Linked DNA regions of Sus scrofa. The protein of the gene in region 2 interacts with the protein of the main gene of each other region in a pairwise test. Links are inferred from orthologs where the notes say so. Each region holds a gene or a part of one and is shown on either strand. Other genes may lie near its edges.

Region 1 (5,122 bases), on a different chromosome or scaffold from region 2:
GGCCAGGGACTGAACCTGTGCCACAGAAGCAACCTGGTGCTGGATCCTTAACTTGCTCTGCCACAAGAGAACTCTTCCAGGCTAAGCACTTCATAGGCATTATGCCCAGTTATCATTATAACCTTTTTATAAAGTAATAAAACAGGTTTAGTGAGGTTAAAATAACTTGCCTACTGTCCCACAACATGTAAATGACATGCTGATTTGATGCCAGCTCTGATTTCAATGTATGTGGGTTTTTTGGGTTTTGTTTTTGTTCTCTTACTCTTGTTATTTTTATCATGGACTGGGGAAAGCCTGGTGGTGCCAGAAGCAGCTAGATCAGACTAGGGTATGACTATAGAATTTTCCTGAGTCTTAGGGCAGCTGGAGAAAACACAGCTTACCGGGTGGATTTTCATCTGGAGCTGAATCACAGCAGGGCTAGTATCAGTATGGAGTGCAGAGGCTTAAGCGTGAGATCAAAGGAATTAGGCGGGAGTAAACTAAGGTGAGTTGAAGTGAGGGGTCAAGAGTTGACAGTGCAAAGTACACAACAGGAAATACATGCAAGGTATCAGGAAGGCAGCCAAAATTGTAAACAACATGTGGGGGGTTCATTCTGATTGTTTTTAACTGGCAGAAAATGGGCAGCTAACTTAAAGACTTGGGATAATAAGACAGTTCCTTTCACACATCTGTCTTTTCAGGGAAACTGAGCTCAAACTGACTTCCCATCTGAATCTTTCTTCATATTAACAAGTAATGACCAGCTGTATCTTTCTGGAAGAGAGGGGCTGTATCTGCCTGTCACATAGCTGCTTATCAGGCTAGGCTTCTGATGAAAGAAGTGCTCCCAGGTCGTGGAAATAGGAGACACAGTTCAGGCTTTTTCCAGGTCTATGGCTAACTCCGTGCCTGATGCTTTAGCGATGGGAACTCATGTTTCCTGGCAAAGCACGGCAGCTTTAGGACAGGAATCCCTGACATTCTCTTCTGCCAAAGGGAGCCTAGTGAAGCTGCAGACCGCTGAGATTATTTGGGGAATAGATGTGGGCATAGTATATTCATTTTTTTAAAGTGGATGGCTTAAACAGGGAGGCAGGGAGCCTTTTAATTGTAGGAGGTGGTATGATATTCCAGAAAACTGGGAAAGAATTTGCTGGTAATTTTACAAGTTGGCAGACTTGTTGAATTATCTGATGTGCAGTGCCAGTTCTGGGAGGAACAGATGTCCCTCGCACTATAAGGTAACATGCTCTGGAACCAAATTCCAAACGTTGCCCTCAGTCTGTTGTCCCAGATGATGGAAGAGAGAACTGAAGCTCTTGGTTTGGAACTGGAGGAGGTTTGTATGGATCCTGAGTGGGGGTTTCTAACAGTATTTCTATACCATTACACCCAGACCCATGACATTGAAGAAGTCAGCATTCACAGCTTCTAGGTTCATGATAGGTGGTAATGTGTTATTTTGTTGAGGTATGGATTTGAGTCATAATAGGTTGTAGGGATGGCACGTGGGAGTGGGTCACTCAACTAATAAATCAACCTAACCTACTCTGTGGCAGCTAAATCACATTGTTATTATTCTTTCTTAATTATGGAGAAAATTCTATGCTATAAGGCAGCATTTCCCAGAGTATGGTCTAGAGAACAATATCATTGTGTTATACGATAGTTTAAAAAAAAAAGTCTTGAAGTAATATTGAGTTAAAAAAGCTAAAGATATCCGTACTGCACGGTTCCACTATGTTTGTATCATGTGGCCTTGAGCCAGTTTTTCTGAGCTTTAGCTTCTTCATCTTTGAAATAGGGTCATAAAAAACAGTACATCATAGGGTCATTATGAAGGTTAAATGAGATTAGGTACGTGGAGCATCTAGCATGCTATCCAGCACATAGTAGGCACCAGATGTGTACTCTTTCCCTTCTAGTTGAAGGGAGTGAGATTGACTCAAGGCACATTGTGCAAATCTGCTACAGAATGTTTATCAGACTGTGAGGCAAGGCAAACTATGGGAAAACTCTGCAGTATGTATCTCTGAACTGACGCCCCTTCTTCTATGTGGGTGGAGAAAGAATTGATGACATTTGCAGAGCTTTTCTCAGCTTGCTGCATTGTCCTTAAAACCCAAGCTAACTTGCCCTCCTCCTCCTTATCCTGGATGGTTGACCATCTGCAGATCACGAGCCTGTGCAGGTGCAGCTGTAGGATTTGCACGTAGGAAGTGCTGAATTTATCCATGTGCCTCACCTTGCTAGATCCACCCTTTCTAATTTGGGGATAGACTTTGACATTGACATAAGGCAGCAGGGCACTGAGATCTCTGTGGTTCTACTTCATGAGCATATGTGGATCAAGGAGGAGGGAGAATTCATGGCATGGACTGCTTGTAGGAGGGAGTGTTTCAGGCCCAAAATATACTCTCCTAATAAGGCACTGCCATTTTTCAAATCATCTAGGCTTTCTTAGCTCCACCACTTCCCCACCCTAATCCACTCAGCTGACAGATCTTGGTGATTGTACTTATGGAATACTGCCCAAATGCATCTTGTTTCCATTTCCACCACCTGCTCCCTAGTTTAGGCTCCCCATAACCTCCACCAGGCAGTTTTGCAGTATCTTCCAAACTAGTTTCTCTGCCCTTTCCCCCCACTCCACTTAATCATTTTAGTTCCCTGCTCCAAAACATGCTTTGCTTCTCAGTGCTCATCAGAATGAAGTTCCCAGGTCTCACTTTGGCTCTGATGACATAATCATTCCCCAGTTTCCCTTTCCAAACCAGTTATTCTAATCCCCCTGTATTCTTCCACATGTTTTTTTTTTTTTTTTTTTTTTGCTTTTTTTAGGGCCTCATACATGGCATATGGAAGTTGCTAGGCTAAGGGTCGAATCCGAGCTACAGCCGCCGGCCTACACCACAGCCACAGCCATGCCAGATCCGAGCTGCTTTAGCGACCTATACCACAGCTCACGGCAACAACACCCCATCCTTAATGCCCTGAGCGGGGCCAGGGATTGAACCCGCATCCTCATGGATACTAGTTGGGTTCATTACTGCTGAGCCACAACAGGAACTCCTCTCCTACAATTTTAACCTAAGGATGAGAGGAAAGAGAACTAAATTTTATTTAAAACTTTTTGGTGCTAAGCTAAGTCAGAATTTTATACACTACATATATGATCTCATTTAATCCTTGCATTAGCCTCTAATGGCAGTATTCTCATTTTACAGAAGAGGAAACTCACTCAGAGAGTTTCTTTCTAATACACTGAAGTTCTTGTCCTTTCCCTTGCTTTTCAGCCTTTGTTAAGACTGCCCTTTTGCCTGGTAGCCTTTTCCCCCCATTTCCACATATCTGTGCATCTATCCAGGACCCTATCAAATGCCATCTCCCCTCACAAAATCCTGTTTCCCTCCAACTGGAGTGACTGTCTCTTCACCTCTGTCAGACTTAGTCTATAACCTGTTTATGATATTACTTTCTGTCTTGACTGTTATTTACCTACATGTCTTGTTTTCTTTCCTAAAGTTTGAACATTTGAAGGGCAGGATTTGTGTCCTGAGAAACCTTATTATCAATCTAGTACAATACATGATACTTAGATAGATAGGTTGGTAGGTGAGTAAATAGGAGGACAGATGAAAGAGAAATACATGTGATTTTCTACCTAATGTTTTGCTGATCACCTAAAGCTAAACATCATTAATTTTCTGTTTCTGTATTTGATTCCTAGGACCCCAAATATGACATGATAGACTCTATGTAACACAATAAAATAAAAACCTCCATGCTTTTGTTCACACAGTGATGTTTGCTTAAAATGCTTTTATCCCTCATTGCCTTGTGCTTTAAAGACATCTCAGGAGTGTGCTTCTCGGAAGCCTTCTCTAGTTCCTCTGGGCAGAATCTGTTCCTCCATTCACTGCGTTCCTGCAGAACCTTGTATATAATCCTTTCCTGAACGTATTTTTTCTGTGCTTTTCTCCTAATATAAAGTATGAGTTGTAGACTTTAAAAAAAAAAAATGATCACTAACATTTAGGAAGCATACTGCTTTCCAAGTGCTATACTAAGTGCATCATATTATTTAATCCTTCCCTAAAACATATAAAGTAGACATCATTATTATTTAAACTTTATAGGTGAGTGATGGGGCAGCTGAGTTTGGGGAAGTTTAAGTTACTTCCTTAAGGTCACATAACTAGTATCAGAGACTCTAGAACCTGAAGTCTCACCCACTCATGCAGCACTTAGTTTCCCCTTGTAGTACCGTCAGCTAACACGGAATGGATTTGAGTAAATACTTATTAAATAAGTCAGCGACTGAATGAGTGATGGGAGCCATTCTCTACACGTGTCTTGAGTGCGTTAACTCATGGAGGCGGGGAATAATGGCTTCTTTTTCTCTTTAGCAGGACTTGGCCCTCTGGAGCATGTACACTAGGCTGTTCAGTCCTGGGCTGTGCTAGCAGCCCCTTCACAGGAAGAGCAATGGCTGCAGCCGCAGCCTCTCACCTGAACCTGGATGCCCTCCGGGAAGTGCTGGAATGCCCCATCTGCATGGAGTCCTTCACAGAGGAGCAGCTGCGGCCCAAGCTCCTGCACTGTGGCCATACCATCTGCCGCCAGTGCCTGGAGAAGCTGCTGGCCAGCAGCATCAACGGCGTGCGCTGTCCCTTTTGCAGTAAGATTACCCGCATAACCAGCCTGAGCCAGCTGACGGACAACCTGACCGTGCTGAAGATCATTGACACGGCTGGGCTCAGCGAGGCCGTGGGGCTGCTCATGTGCCGGGCCTGCGGGCGGCGGCTGCCCCGGCAGTTCTGCCGGAGCTGCAGCGTGGTGTTATGTGAGCCCTGCCGGGAGGCGGACCACCAGCCTCCCGGCCACTGCACGCTCCCTGTCAAAGAGGCCGCCGAGGAGCGGCGCCGGGACTTTGGAGAGAAGTTGGCCCGTCTACGGGAGCTCATGGGGGAGCTGCAGCGGCGGAAGGTGGCCTTGGAAGGTGTCTCCAAGGACCTGCAGGCACGGTATAAAGCCGTTCTCCAGGAGTACGGGCACGAGGAGCGCCGGGTCCAGGAGGAGCTGGCTCGCTCTCGGAAGTTCTTCACAGGCTCTTTGGCTGAGGTTGAAAAGT
Region 2 (7,141 bases):
TTTTTTGTCTTTTTTCTATTTTTTGGGCCGCTCCCACGGCATATGGAGGTTCCCAGGCTAGGGGTCGAATCGGAGCTGTAGCCACTGGCCTACGCCAGAGCCACAGCAACACGGGATCCAAGCTGCGTCTGCAACCTACATCACAGCTCACGGCAATGCCGTATCATTAACCCACTGAGCAAGGGCAGGGACTGAACCCGCAACCTCATGGTTCCTAGTCGGATTCATTAACCACTGCGCCACGACGGGAACTCCTCACTGGGGGCATTTTAATGCAACCTGGGGCGAGGCCACTGGGAGAGGACTCTGGAAGCTTGTGCCTGGTTTTCCTTGGGACTTCACCCTATGTGCCTTCTTCCTTTGATAATTTTTTCTTTTTCTTTTCTTTTTCTTTTTTTAGGGCCTCAAGTACATACAGAGGTTCCCAGGCTAGGGGTCAAATTGGAGCTGCAGCTGCCAGCCTACACCACAGCCACAGCAATGCCATATCCGAGACGTGTCTGCAACCTACACCACAGCTCACAGTAACACCAGATCCTTAACCCCTGAGCGGGGCCAGGGATCGAACCTGTGTCCTCATAGATATTAGGTTCATTTCCACTGAGCCACAACAGGAACTCTACCTTTGCTGATTTTGCTTTATAGCCTTTCACAACAATAACCTCAGCTGAGCGTACATTTTTTTTTCTGGCCACATCCATGCTCATGGAAGTTCTCGGGTCACAGCAGCGACTCAAGCCCAGCAGCGACAATGCCAGATTCCACGTAGAACTGGAACTGCTGAGTCCTGAGTCCTCCTGGCACATCACTGAACATGAGCGTGGTGTCTTCTCCTCCTCAGAACTCATGCCCACTGGCCAATGGCGCTATTTATCTTGCTTATTGTCTCCCCCTGCCAGGGGCCCTTCCCCCACCTTCTTGGTCCCTGGAGGATCCCACATCACCCTGCACACATGCACAGAAGACCCTGGGAGAATATTTGCTGAACAACTGTAACAGCTTTATTTCCAAAGCTGGAGTCCCTCCCTGGGCTTGTAATGGGAAGGGGGCCTTTGGCAAGAGCAGAGCCATGCGGGATGGGGCTGAGAAGGGACGGGGCAGCTGGCTTGGGAGGCCGACATGTCCTTGAAGACACCTCACACAGGTTCCATCTGCAGCTCCTCCCCGTCCACAGCCTCTATCTGGTGGAAGGCGGCGTGGGAGCCGATGACCACGAGGGTGGCTCCTGGGGGAAAACGGGCAGCTCAGGGCCTGCTGCCTCCCCGGCCCCCACTGCCCACCGCGCCACCGAGACCCTGTACTCACTCACCTAGGACCCAGAAGACGGCGGATCCCGCGCCAGCCAGCCAGAAGAAGGGAAAGGAGACGCCCCCGGCCAGGGCATACTGATGGGCGGGGCTCACCTCTCGGCCTGGGGGGGCAGATGGCATTGGGACAGCTGTTCCACACCTGTCCCCTCTCCCAGAGTAACCCCCAAAATGCCTTATGCCAAGGCCCTCCAAGTCCGGCCCCAGCCATTTCCCCAGCGTCCCCACCCACTGTCCCCTGAAACAGTGCACCTTCCTCAGTAATCCCCCCCACCGCCCTCCACCCTTCAACTTTACTTCTGCTAGGAAGCTCCCAGACTCTCCCTCCCCAAACTACAGCTTTCCTGCTCCAACCTGCCCTCGCATAGACCTGGGTTTTCCAACTGGCATCCCAAAGGCCCAGGCTGACACCTAGACATGTTTTTTGAGTTTGCATATTATTCCACAATAATTTTTTTGCTTTTTAGGGCCGCACCCACAGCACATGGAAGTTTCCAGGCTAGGGGTCGAATCAGATCCACAGCCACAACAACGCGAGATCCGAGACACGTCTGCAACCTACACCACAGCTCACGGCAACACCAGATCCTTAACACCCTGAGCGAGGCCAGGGGTCGAACCCGCATCCTCGTGGAACCTAGTCAGGCTTGTTAACCGCTGAGCCACGATTTGTTGATTTGCTGCTGACATACAGACAGAATGATTTCACACAGCAATACAGTCGGCCCTCTGTATCCGCAGATGGGCACCCGTGGGTCACTGTACTACATCATTGCTACATCAGCAACTTGAGCATCCTCGGATTTGGGTATCCAAAATCTGGGGGCTCCTAGAAAAGCTGAGAGATGGCTGTATAGACATCTGGCTTCTTGTGGCAGATTGGAAAGTCAGACTTGCAAACCCTGGCGGCAGCAGTGGCTGAAGACAAGTTGTGACTATGCTCTGGACGCTCCCTCTGTGCCCTGTGCTCGCCTGACATGCTCCTCCACCCAGCCCACCCTTACCAGATACATAACTGGCAGGCTTCTGATGGATTCTGTCTTAGGTCTACCTGTTTCTTTGATTCCAACTCCCCCTTATCTCCACTCCAAACCTTGAGTTTCCCTTAGTTGGGAACTCAGGCCCTCTTTCTTCCCAGTGGTGCTTGGTGCCAGTCTAGGACCACATGAGCCACAGGCCTCAGCTTCCCTCTGAGAAGTCCCAAGATTTTTCTACTCCCATCCCAGGAAGCACGAAAGGGGGAGGACAGATTTAGGCTAGAGTAAAGTCGCCACCTGGCGTCCAATGTGGGTACTTGCAGCTGATGCTTTTGGCAGATGAGGGAGAGAGAAGGAGGAGGTTTAAAAGGCCAGCGGCTAGGTGGAGTGGTTCTTGGATATCTTCTGGGTTTGGGAAACAGCAATTTGGGGGGACTGAGAGTGGATAGGAGCATCAGGTGTGGGTATGGGGAATCTACTGTAGGTCTAGGATTGGGCAGACTTGGGTTCAAAAGGACTCAGGTTTGAGGTCTAAGGCTTGGATTCAAAGAGCCAGGATCAGAGGAGTTTGGGCAGATTTCTCACCAAACAGCACAAACTTGGACTGCAACGTGCGCAGATAGAGGATGTAACAGGCGCCAAAGAAGACAGCCAGAGCTACCAGCAGCATGGGCGATGTTACCCTGGAGGAGGGCAGGGAGGCACAGTCAGGCCGCTGGGGCTGCGTCAGACACGAAGGCCCTGACCTTCTACACCTGGGGACGTCCTTAGGACCACGCAAGTCTAGGTCATGTTTGGTCCCCCTGCATCCCAGCCAGGCTGATGGAGTAGGGACCTGGTCCTCTGGGGTAAAGATCCCACAGAGCTATCCCATGGGGACAGGGCCTGGCCAGTGCAGACATGGCAGCCTGGCGGGGGCGGGGCCTGGCTGAGGGGGGCTGTTCTGGCCAGAGAGACACTCACACGCAGTACAGGATGAGGCCCAGGAACACAAACACATAGTTGCTTTGGTAGTATTCCACGTTGCGTACGAGGCGCTGGCAAAGCTCGCCCAGGTTGCGGGGACGCGAAAAACGCCGCTGGTCCACGAAGGAGCCCCAGGGGCGGATGGTAGCACGGCGCCGCTCCAGCCACTCACGGCCCGCGCCAGAGGGAATCAGTTTCGGCAGCAGGGTCCTGGGGGGTGCGGGACCAGGTCAGCGGTAGACCGGGTTGGAGCCCGGACCCCCGAGCAAGAAGGGGGCCGAGGGGAGCGGGACTCCGGGGTTCTGGGGGGCGGGGGAGATATGGTCCAGGACTCCTGGATTCCAGGGGAGGAAGGGATTGAGCCGGGGCCAGGAGTCCGGATTCCTAACTCCCCAGGGATGAGGGGCGAGAAGCCATGACTCTCGGGTCTAGGTCAGGGGGGCTAGATTAGACTTGCTTACGTGGCGCTCAGCCCTTCCGCCTCGGCATCCTTCTGCTGGTCCTTCTCGGCCGCCATGTCTGTGTTGTGAGGGGAAGAACCGCTGTAACGAGGCTGGGGCCCTCCACACCCCACGGGCCCCGCCCGAAACCGGCCTCACTCGAAGTGGCCGGAGGGGACGTGGCGCCGTTCCGGCGCCGCTGGGGGCGGTAGGTTTGTCACGGAGTATTATGGGAGTTGTAGTCCTGACGATGTCGGGGAGAGTAGGCGCCCTGGTGGCTGCATGGCTCGAGGAGCACCTTGGGAGATGTAGTCGCGTAAAGCGACGTGGGTGCCTCGGGGGCATTGTGGGAGTTGTAGTTTCAAAGGTAGGACGTGCGAGGTCAGAGAAAGTGAGCTGTCAGGAGTCAGGGTGTCGGGGGAGTGTAAAGGCAGAAGACGTCGTGTACTACCCCGAGCAGTCTCTGTACAGTGGGGACTGTGTAGGGCTGTCATTCTGACTCTAAGGATATTAAAAAAAACCGTGATTAAACACTCAGATGTTCTGATTTATCAGATCTGGGGTGAGACCCATTCACTGGCTCTTTTTTTTTTTTTGTGGCAGGCAGGGAGTGGGGTGGGTGGGGACATGCTACGTTTTCTGGCTAAGGATCGAACCCTAGCCACAGCAGCAACCCTAGCACAGCAGTGACAGTGGGGGATCCTGAGCCACCAGGGAACTCATGGACCACATTTGAATAGTGAGACTGTAGAATATTTGTAGGAATCCATTCCATCCTTCTTCAAAGGCTAGTGAGGGGGCCATGGTTGCTGAAGGGGGTTATCTAAGATGGGGAGCAAAGCTCCCCCACAACTCTGGGCTCCTAAGGATGGATGGGTTAGGATTAGGACCTCAAGGATGCCCCTGCTATGGAGAGGGTAAAGGGAAGTAGGGGAAAGTAAAGGGGTGAGTTGTTTTTTTTTTTTTTTAATCTTTTTTTATTCCAGTTTTATTGAGGGGAATGAGGGATTTTAATTTTTAATTTTTATTTATTTATTTATTGTCATTTTAGGGCCACACCCGTGGCATGTGGAGGTTCCCAGGCTAGGGGTCGAATCAGAGCTGCAGCTGCTGGCCCACACCACAGCCACAGCAAGGCGGGATCCGAGGCACATCTGTGACCTACACCACAGCTCACAGCAACGCCAGACACTTAACCCACTGAGCAAGGCCAAGGATCAAATACGCGTCCCCATGGATACTTGTTGGGTTTGTTACCACTGAGCCATGATGGGAACTCTGAGAATTTTTAAAAGACGGAGTAGTTACAACTAAAAGAACTGGATTTCTTGGGTCAGAGGTCAAAATCCAGCCTGTGTTGATTTCATCAACTCCCTGTCTTCATTGGACAGTGAAGATCATCCTGGTTCCACACTCATGGGTTAAGGTTGGGTTGAATGATCCATGTGAAGTGCTTGAAAGAGTCTTGCTATTTTATAACCACTCAATAAATGGTGATGTTGTTTTTGCCACTACATTGTCATGAATGTTATGATTATTTCTAGAGTTCAGCCTTCTCAAATATGTCTGTAACGTAGTTGCTGCTGCTGGCCCCTTGGATGTCCCAAAGAGGGACTGGTGTCTGCCACGTGGGCCGCCTGTCTCTCCCCGGGTCCCCACAGCCATGGTTCTCTCAGTCTTTGCTCCTGAATGAGCTGTGGAAAACCGGCCAGAATTCTAAAGAGATGCCCTAGAATATGGCCTCAAGAAAATTATGTGGGGAGTTCCCGTCATGGCGCAGTGGTTAATGAATCTGACTAGGAACCTGCCCTTGCTCAGTGGGTTAACGATCCGGCGTTGCCGTGAGCTGTGGTGTAGGTCGCAGATGTGGCTCGGATCCTGTGTTGCTGTGGCTCTGGCGTAGGCCGGCGGCTACAGCTCCGATTGGACCCCTAGCCTGGGAACCTCCATATGCCTCGGGAGCAGCCCAAGAAAAAGGCAAAAAGACAAAAAAAAAAAAAAAAAAAAAAAAAAAAAGAGGAGTTCCCGTCGTGGCGCAGTGGTTAACGAATCTGACTAGGAACCATGAGGTTGCGGGTTCAGTCCCTGCCCTTGCTCAGTGGGTTAACGATCTGGCGTTGCTGTGAGCTGTGGTGTAGGTTGCAGACGCAGCTTGGATCCCGCGTTGCTGTGGCTCTGGCGTAGGCCGGTGGCTGCAGCTCCGATCTGACCCCTAGCCTGGGAACCTCCATATGCCGCGGGAGCGGCCCAAGAAATAGCAACAATAACAACAACAACAAAAAGACAAAAAAAAAAAAAGAAAAAAAAAAAAAGAAAATTATGTGGAGGTGTTCCATGAGGTTGTGGGTTTGATCCCTGGCCTCGCTCAGTGGGTTAAGGCTCTGGCATTGCTGTGAGCTGTGGTATAGGTCGAAGACGAGGCTCAGACCTGGCATTTCAGTGGCTGTGGCCGTGGCTGTGGCTGTGGCCATGAACTGTAGCTCTAATTTGATCCCTAGCCTGGGAACTTCCATATTCTGTGGGTGCAGTCCTAAAAAAGAAAGAAAGAAAGGAAAAACAAGTGTGTGTGGCAGTATCCAGAAGCCTGGGCTCCCTTACACAGACTGGTCCTCATTTTCCCAGGCTGGGTGGGGCTGAAGGAGAACACCCACGTGGGACATCAGGTAGCTCTTAACTCTGTCTTCAGGGATCAGTGCCCTTTCAGACTTGGGCTTTGAGGCCTGCTGGAGGGCTTTCTCATGAGATGAGGAGGACAGGCCCGCCAATTGGACTGGTGGAGCAATAGGCAGGGAACTGTAGTGGAGGAGTCCCAAGCTGAAGCTGAATGAGCCATGCTTTGAAGATCAGACTGGCTAGTTCCTGTTTACTTCCCCTCTGTCAGCCCCAGGCTTTTTTTTTTTTTTTTTTTTGCTTTTTACAGCCATGCCTGCGGCACGTGAAAGTTCCCAGGCCAGGGCTTGGAGCTGCAGCTGCTGGCCTACACCACCGCCGCAGCAACGGCAGATCTGAGCTGCATCTGTGAAATATGCCGCAACTTGCCTCAACACTGGCTCCTTAACCCACTAAGCAAGGTCAGGGATTGAACCCGAGTCCTCACAGACAGTGTCGGGTCCTTAACCTGCTGAGCCACAACGGGAACTCGCAGCCCCAGGATTTTAGAAAAAGTTTGTTCAGCTTTGGTCCAGCTTGGCTTCAGGAAAACGAAGGAGGACTGTGAGCACACAGTTGGCCCAGAGTGATAATGGGGGAGCAGCACCCGAGTCCAAAGTGATGAGGGCAGCAGAGGTAACCAGGAGAGCCCCCAGGAAGATGAATCTTGGGGAACAGAGAGTTGGAGGCAAAGGTCTAGCTACCTTCTTCCACGGCACACCTTGGGAAACTGGGGTTTGACTTTTGTCATGAGACCTCTTGGGTTTCTTCCCAGGAACATGAATGAAAGTGATTTTACTCT
Region 3 (4,173 bases), on a different chromosome or scaffold from region 2:
GATCTCAGTTCCCAGACTAGGGATGGAGCCCAGGCTGCAGCAGTGAAGCCACTGAGTCCTAACCACTGGGCCACCAGGGAGCTCCCTGTCCTTGCTTTTTCTCACTAAAGTGAGGTGAGAGGAGCAGACCTGTGAAGCACGAGGCTACAGAAGGGACACGTGTGAGGTCGGGTCATCCAGGAGGGCCCCTGACCCCACTGGTGTCCCACCTGCTCCCCGGAAGCGTCCAGCAGCGCTTCACCTGTTGGTGCCCAAGACCCCAGAGTGCTCGGCTTTGGTCGGATGCAGGCCTGTAGGGGAGCTGGGCGAGATGCTAAGTCTGTGGTGACAAGGAAGTGAGCCACAGCCACGGCTCCCATGGGGACAGAGACGCACTGGCCTCCCTGTCTCTACGAGGTGGGGAGCTGGCCCTCCCTCTGCAGTGACAGGCCTGGCCCAAGGGCTCCCGGGCAGCCCCCCTCCCAGGAAGCTCCAGGGCTCCCGCGTCGGATGGTAAACAAAGTCCTGCCTAGTGGGTTCCCGTCGACTCTGTCCAGCATCTCGTGGCGTTCTCCTTCCCTGCCACCTACTTTCCCATCAAGGCCACCACTTCGGTTTGGTCCCAAGCCCCTCTGGCCGGGCTCAAAAACCTGCGTGTCAGGCCAGCGTGAGCCCCACAGACACGGGCTTTTCCTTTATTCTCCTTCAGTCCTCAAGGCAGAGAGCTTTGCTTCAGCAGGAAGGAGACCAGAGACAGGTGAGACCCCCTCCCCAGCCCCCAGCCCCACCAGCTTCAGGAGGGCACAGCTGGTGCAGGCACCCCAGGAGCTGGGTGCAGTGGCAGCCAGGGGACACCCTCGGCTCTGGGCCAGGCGGGCGCCACGGAGGACCTCGGCTCCCCCAGTGAGGACAGGGTTCTCCTGGGGCCTCCACTCGCCCGGCTGGTGGGGAGCGGGAAACAGCCTCTCCTGAAGCGTGAAGTGGGCCCCACTCCAGGCTACAGCCGGACGAGCAGAGCGGGCACAGCGTTGAAAACGCTGGCCTTTAAGTCAGCAGAGAGCCGTGTGCCACAGGTGACTCCAGCCACCGGGAGTGAAACAGACACAGTGGCCACAGCCCAGCAGCTTTGCGATGCCCACAACTGGCACTAAAGAAATTGCGACTCTCTCTTGGGACAGGAAAGCCGAGCAGTCTCGCCCCTAGGGGGACAGCAAGAGCCCGGCTCTGTCTGTAACTCGCTGCTTGTGACTGGGGGTCGGGGCAGCCCCAGGCCGAAGAGCCAAGTGCGAGTGCAGGCGGCCCCGGGCTCCAGCGCTGTCGCCCAGCCCGTGCCTACCTGCACCCTCGTGTTCTGGCTCAAGCAAGAGAAAGGGGCTCTCCAAGCACCGGGGGCAGCAGCTGTTCAGGGGCCTGCAGCCCACGGAAGAGCGCACAGCCCAGGTCATCAATGTCCTCGTCCCGCAGGCCGCCCAGGAGGTCCACGCGGTGGTTGAAGTGGCAGGGCAGGCTGGCCCGCTCCAGGCTGCCGATGAGAGACTCCAGGGCCTGCAGGAAGCGCTCCCCCAGGGCCTCCTCGGCCCAGTCGGCCGCCTCCTCCCCCAGGCGCAGGACCACCTGGGTCAGGTGGCTGCGGCCCAGCCGCCCCAGCACCGGGTGGCGGTGGCAGACACCGCAGAGCAGCAGCAGCAGCCTCCGGCGGGTCCCAGCATCGCCCTCATCCAGGGCCCGCAGCCTGGCGGCCTCCGCAGAATACAAGTCCTGCAGCCAGAGGTTCCCTGCCAGCCCCTCCAAGGGCCAGGCCAGCAGGAGGCGCTCTCCAGCCGGGGCGCCGGCGACAGCGAGGAGCACAGCCACGGTGAGCTCCAGACGCTCGTGCTGGACCTCGAGCAGCAGCTCCTCTGAGGCCACGCGTGGCCGGATCAGACACCCGAGGAGGCTGCCGATGGCCGGCCAGTTGACGGAGGCGGTCAGGGCCTTGCGGAGCAGCTCCAGCAGGACGCGGGAGGAGAGGTAGCCGCCCACCAGGAAGCGGTCCCAGGGGCTGCTCCCACGAGGGCGGAACTCCAGCTGAGTTCTGCGCACGGCCCAGCAGCGAGGGTCCTGAGCCACAGTGTCCACACCGGGCACCAGGCTCCACAGGCCCGGCTCCAGTGCCAAGGGCACCAGGAGACGCACGGGGTCAGTGGCTCCTGCCTGCAGCCCATCGTAGAGCGGCCCGCCAGGCACCAGTGCCCCGAAGGGCAGCTCTGGGAACTTGTTCCGCAAGTAGGCCTGCAGCTCCAGGGCAATATCACCGGCCAGCTGCTTGGCCAGAGTCACGTGAGCCACCGGGACGGTCACGTAGTCCCGCTCGAATGCCAGCAGCTTCTCCTGGAACGTCAGGCACAAGGATGGCGCTGGGGAGCTGAGCTGAGGCGCCTTCTGGGGATCTGCGTCTGCGGGCACCTCTGCAGAGTGAAGGGGCCGGGGGGTGTCAGTGGGACCCTGCCCAGCCAGCAGCTGACTCTGCGACGGCCCGGGGCCTCGCTCCCCTCGCCTGTGATGGGACCTCCTGAGAAAGCACTGCGCTCGGGCTCTCATGCACAGCGAGCTCGGTGACAAATTCCCCAAGGTCCCCAGCACCCTGAGGCTAACTAAAACAGCTTCAACAGGGTGGGACACGGGCCCGGTGCTCAGCTTCCCCATCAGAGGGCCCCCACTGTCGCAACGCTGCCACCTCGCTCCAGCGCCACCCCTGGGGTCCCCACGTCCTGATGGTTGGAGCCTCAGTCCCCCAGGAGGAGGAAGGGCAGAGAAACACGTCACTAAAATTCAGGGAGCCCAAGGCCGGGGGGGAGCCAGGCCCCTCGTGGGTCATTCGGTGAGTCAGTGGCAGAGCCTGGGCTGCGTCTCCAGAACACGACCACCAAATAAGGGGCCCACCCAGGTCAGACGGGAGGCGTCAGCTCACCTGGGGCAGAGGGTGAGGGGGCCCGGAGTGGCACCGACTGGCTGAGGGCGGCGGGTGGGGGCCGACGCTGGAGGCACGGCGTGGCCTTGAGCAGGCTCAGTTCCTTCCAGCTCTCCTCCAGGCACGTGGCGTCCCCCTTGGCATCAGCCTCATCCTGAGAGCTGGTGGCCCTGTCGATGAGCTGCAGGCAGAGTGACATGGATGAGGGCATCTGAAGCCCAGGCAGCCGCAGCAGAGCCAAGGGCAAAGCGATCTAGGCTGGTGGGGCAGAGGCAGGTGTAGCCTCGGGCACTCCCACCACCCCTGGCCCACTCTGGCCAGCCCCACCGTACCCGCTTCACAGCCAGCGTGGCAATGCCCAGCACGGCAGCCCCGCCCACACCCAGCACCAGGCGGGCATTGGCCAGGAGAAAGTCCACAGCGCTGCCCAGCGCCTCGCCGTCACGCCGCTTGCCCCGATTCTGGGAGAACTCTGCCATGGTTGGTCCACCTGTAAGAGAGCCAGGGCACAGTGTAAGAGAGCCAGGGCACAGTGACTGCTCAGCTGGGGTGGGGGGGGGGCATGGCCAGCCTGTCAGCAGGACAGCAGGGTGACATCATGCCAGGGTCACTGAGTCAGGGGGCTTCCTGAGAACTTCTGAGAATGGGGCCACTTGCAGGGTTTCCTGGGAGGCCTCCCTGCCCAAGTGCCCCACCCAAACCTGCAAACAACCAGCCCCCCGGGTCTCAGAGGGAAGGCCCTGAGGCCCACGGCAGGGCAGGGAAGGGAGGCCACATCCATCCCACCCTCAGGACCCCCGACGTCGCCAGAGACCGTGAATGAGATGGATCTCACTGCCACCACCCCCACTTTGCAGAGAATCAGGTGGCTGACCCACACGGTGAGTGCAAAGCCTCTAGACCCTCACCCTCCCCACGGTCAGGTCCCAGGGGTGGCCTCGTCCTGGTTTCTGACCAGGGCTGGCAAAGCTGGAGGAAACCAAGGCCCAGAGAAGGCCACAGCTTGGGGTCCTAGCAGCTTGCCCTGAACCCCTCTCAGACCTTTGGGGTCACCTCAGTGAAGCTCAGGGGGCCTCAGCTATAACCCCCCACCCGCCAGTCTCAGCAGGGCAGCCCCCAGAGGCAGAACTGTCGAGTCTGAGAAAGCGAGGTCGCTGCCCCGGGGGTGGGGGCAGGAGCTACCTGCAACAGGTATGTGCCAGAGGAGGTTAAAGGCCCCACTGTGAGGGCAGCTAGCAAGGTGA

The links.
Region 1: the proteins of RABAC1 (region 2) and TRIM32 interact in binary tests that used the Homo sapiens proteins (3 or more experiments, as listed by UniProt). The two-hybrid records come from large-scale screens. The link is inferred for Sus scrofa from reciprocal best matches to the Homo sapiens genes RABAC1 and TRIM32.
Region 3: the proteins of RABAC1 (region 2) and MIEF2 interact in binary tests that used the Homo sapiens proteins (3 or more experiments, as listed by UniProt). The two-hybrid records come from large-scale screens. The link is inferred for Sus scrofa from reciprocal best matches to the Homo sapiens genes RABAC1 and MIEF2.

What each region holds. Positions count from the first base shown.
Region 1 is NC_010443.5:257,059,450-257,064,571, forward strand, and holds part of TRIM32 (E3 ubiquitin-protein ligase TRIM32), read left to right. Parts: intron 1-4,397; coding exon 4,398-5,122. UniProt on the Homo sapiens protein: E3 ubiquitin ligase that plays a role in various biological processes including neural stem cell differentiation, innate immunity, inflammatory resonse and autophagy.
Region 2 is NC_010448.4:49,930,214-49,937,354, reverse strand, and holds RABAC1 (prenylated Rab acceptor protein 1), read right to left. Parts: upstream 3,917-7,141; 5' UTR 3,768-3,916; coding exon 3,712-3,767; intron 3,461-3,711; coding exon 3,248-3,460; intron 2,968-3,247; coding exon 2,870-2,967; intron 1,412-2,869; coding exon 1,310-1,411; intron 1,226-1,309; coding exon 1,137-1,225; 3' UTR 979-1,136; downstream 1-978. UniProt on the Homo sapiens protein: General Rab protein regulator required for vesicle formation from the Golgi complex. May control vesicle docking and fusion by mediating the action of Rab GTPases to the SNARE complexes.
Region 3 is NC_010454.4:60,470,050-60,474,222, forward strand, and holds the end of MIEF2 (mitochondrial dynamics protein MID49), read right to left. Parts: intron 3,420-4,173; coding exon 3,262-3,419; intron 3,111-3,261; coding exon 2,930-3,110; intron 2,427-2,929; coding exon 1,336-2,426; 3' UTR 596-1,335; downstream 1-595. UniProt on the Homo sapiens protein: Mitochondrial outer membrane protein involved in the regulation of mitochondrial organization.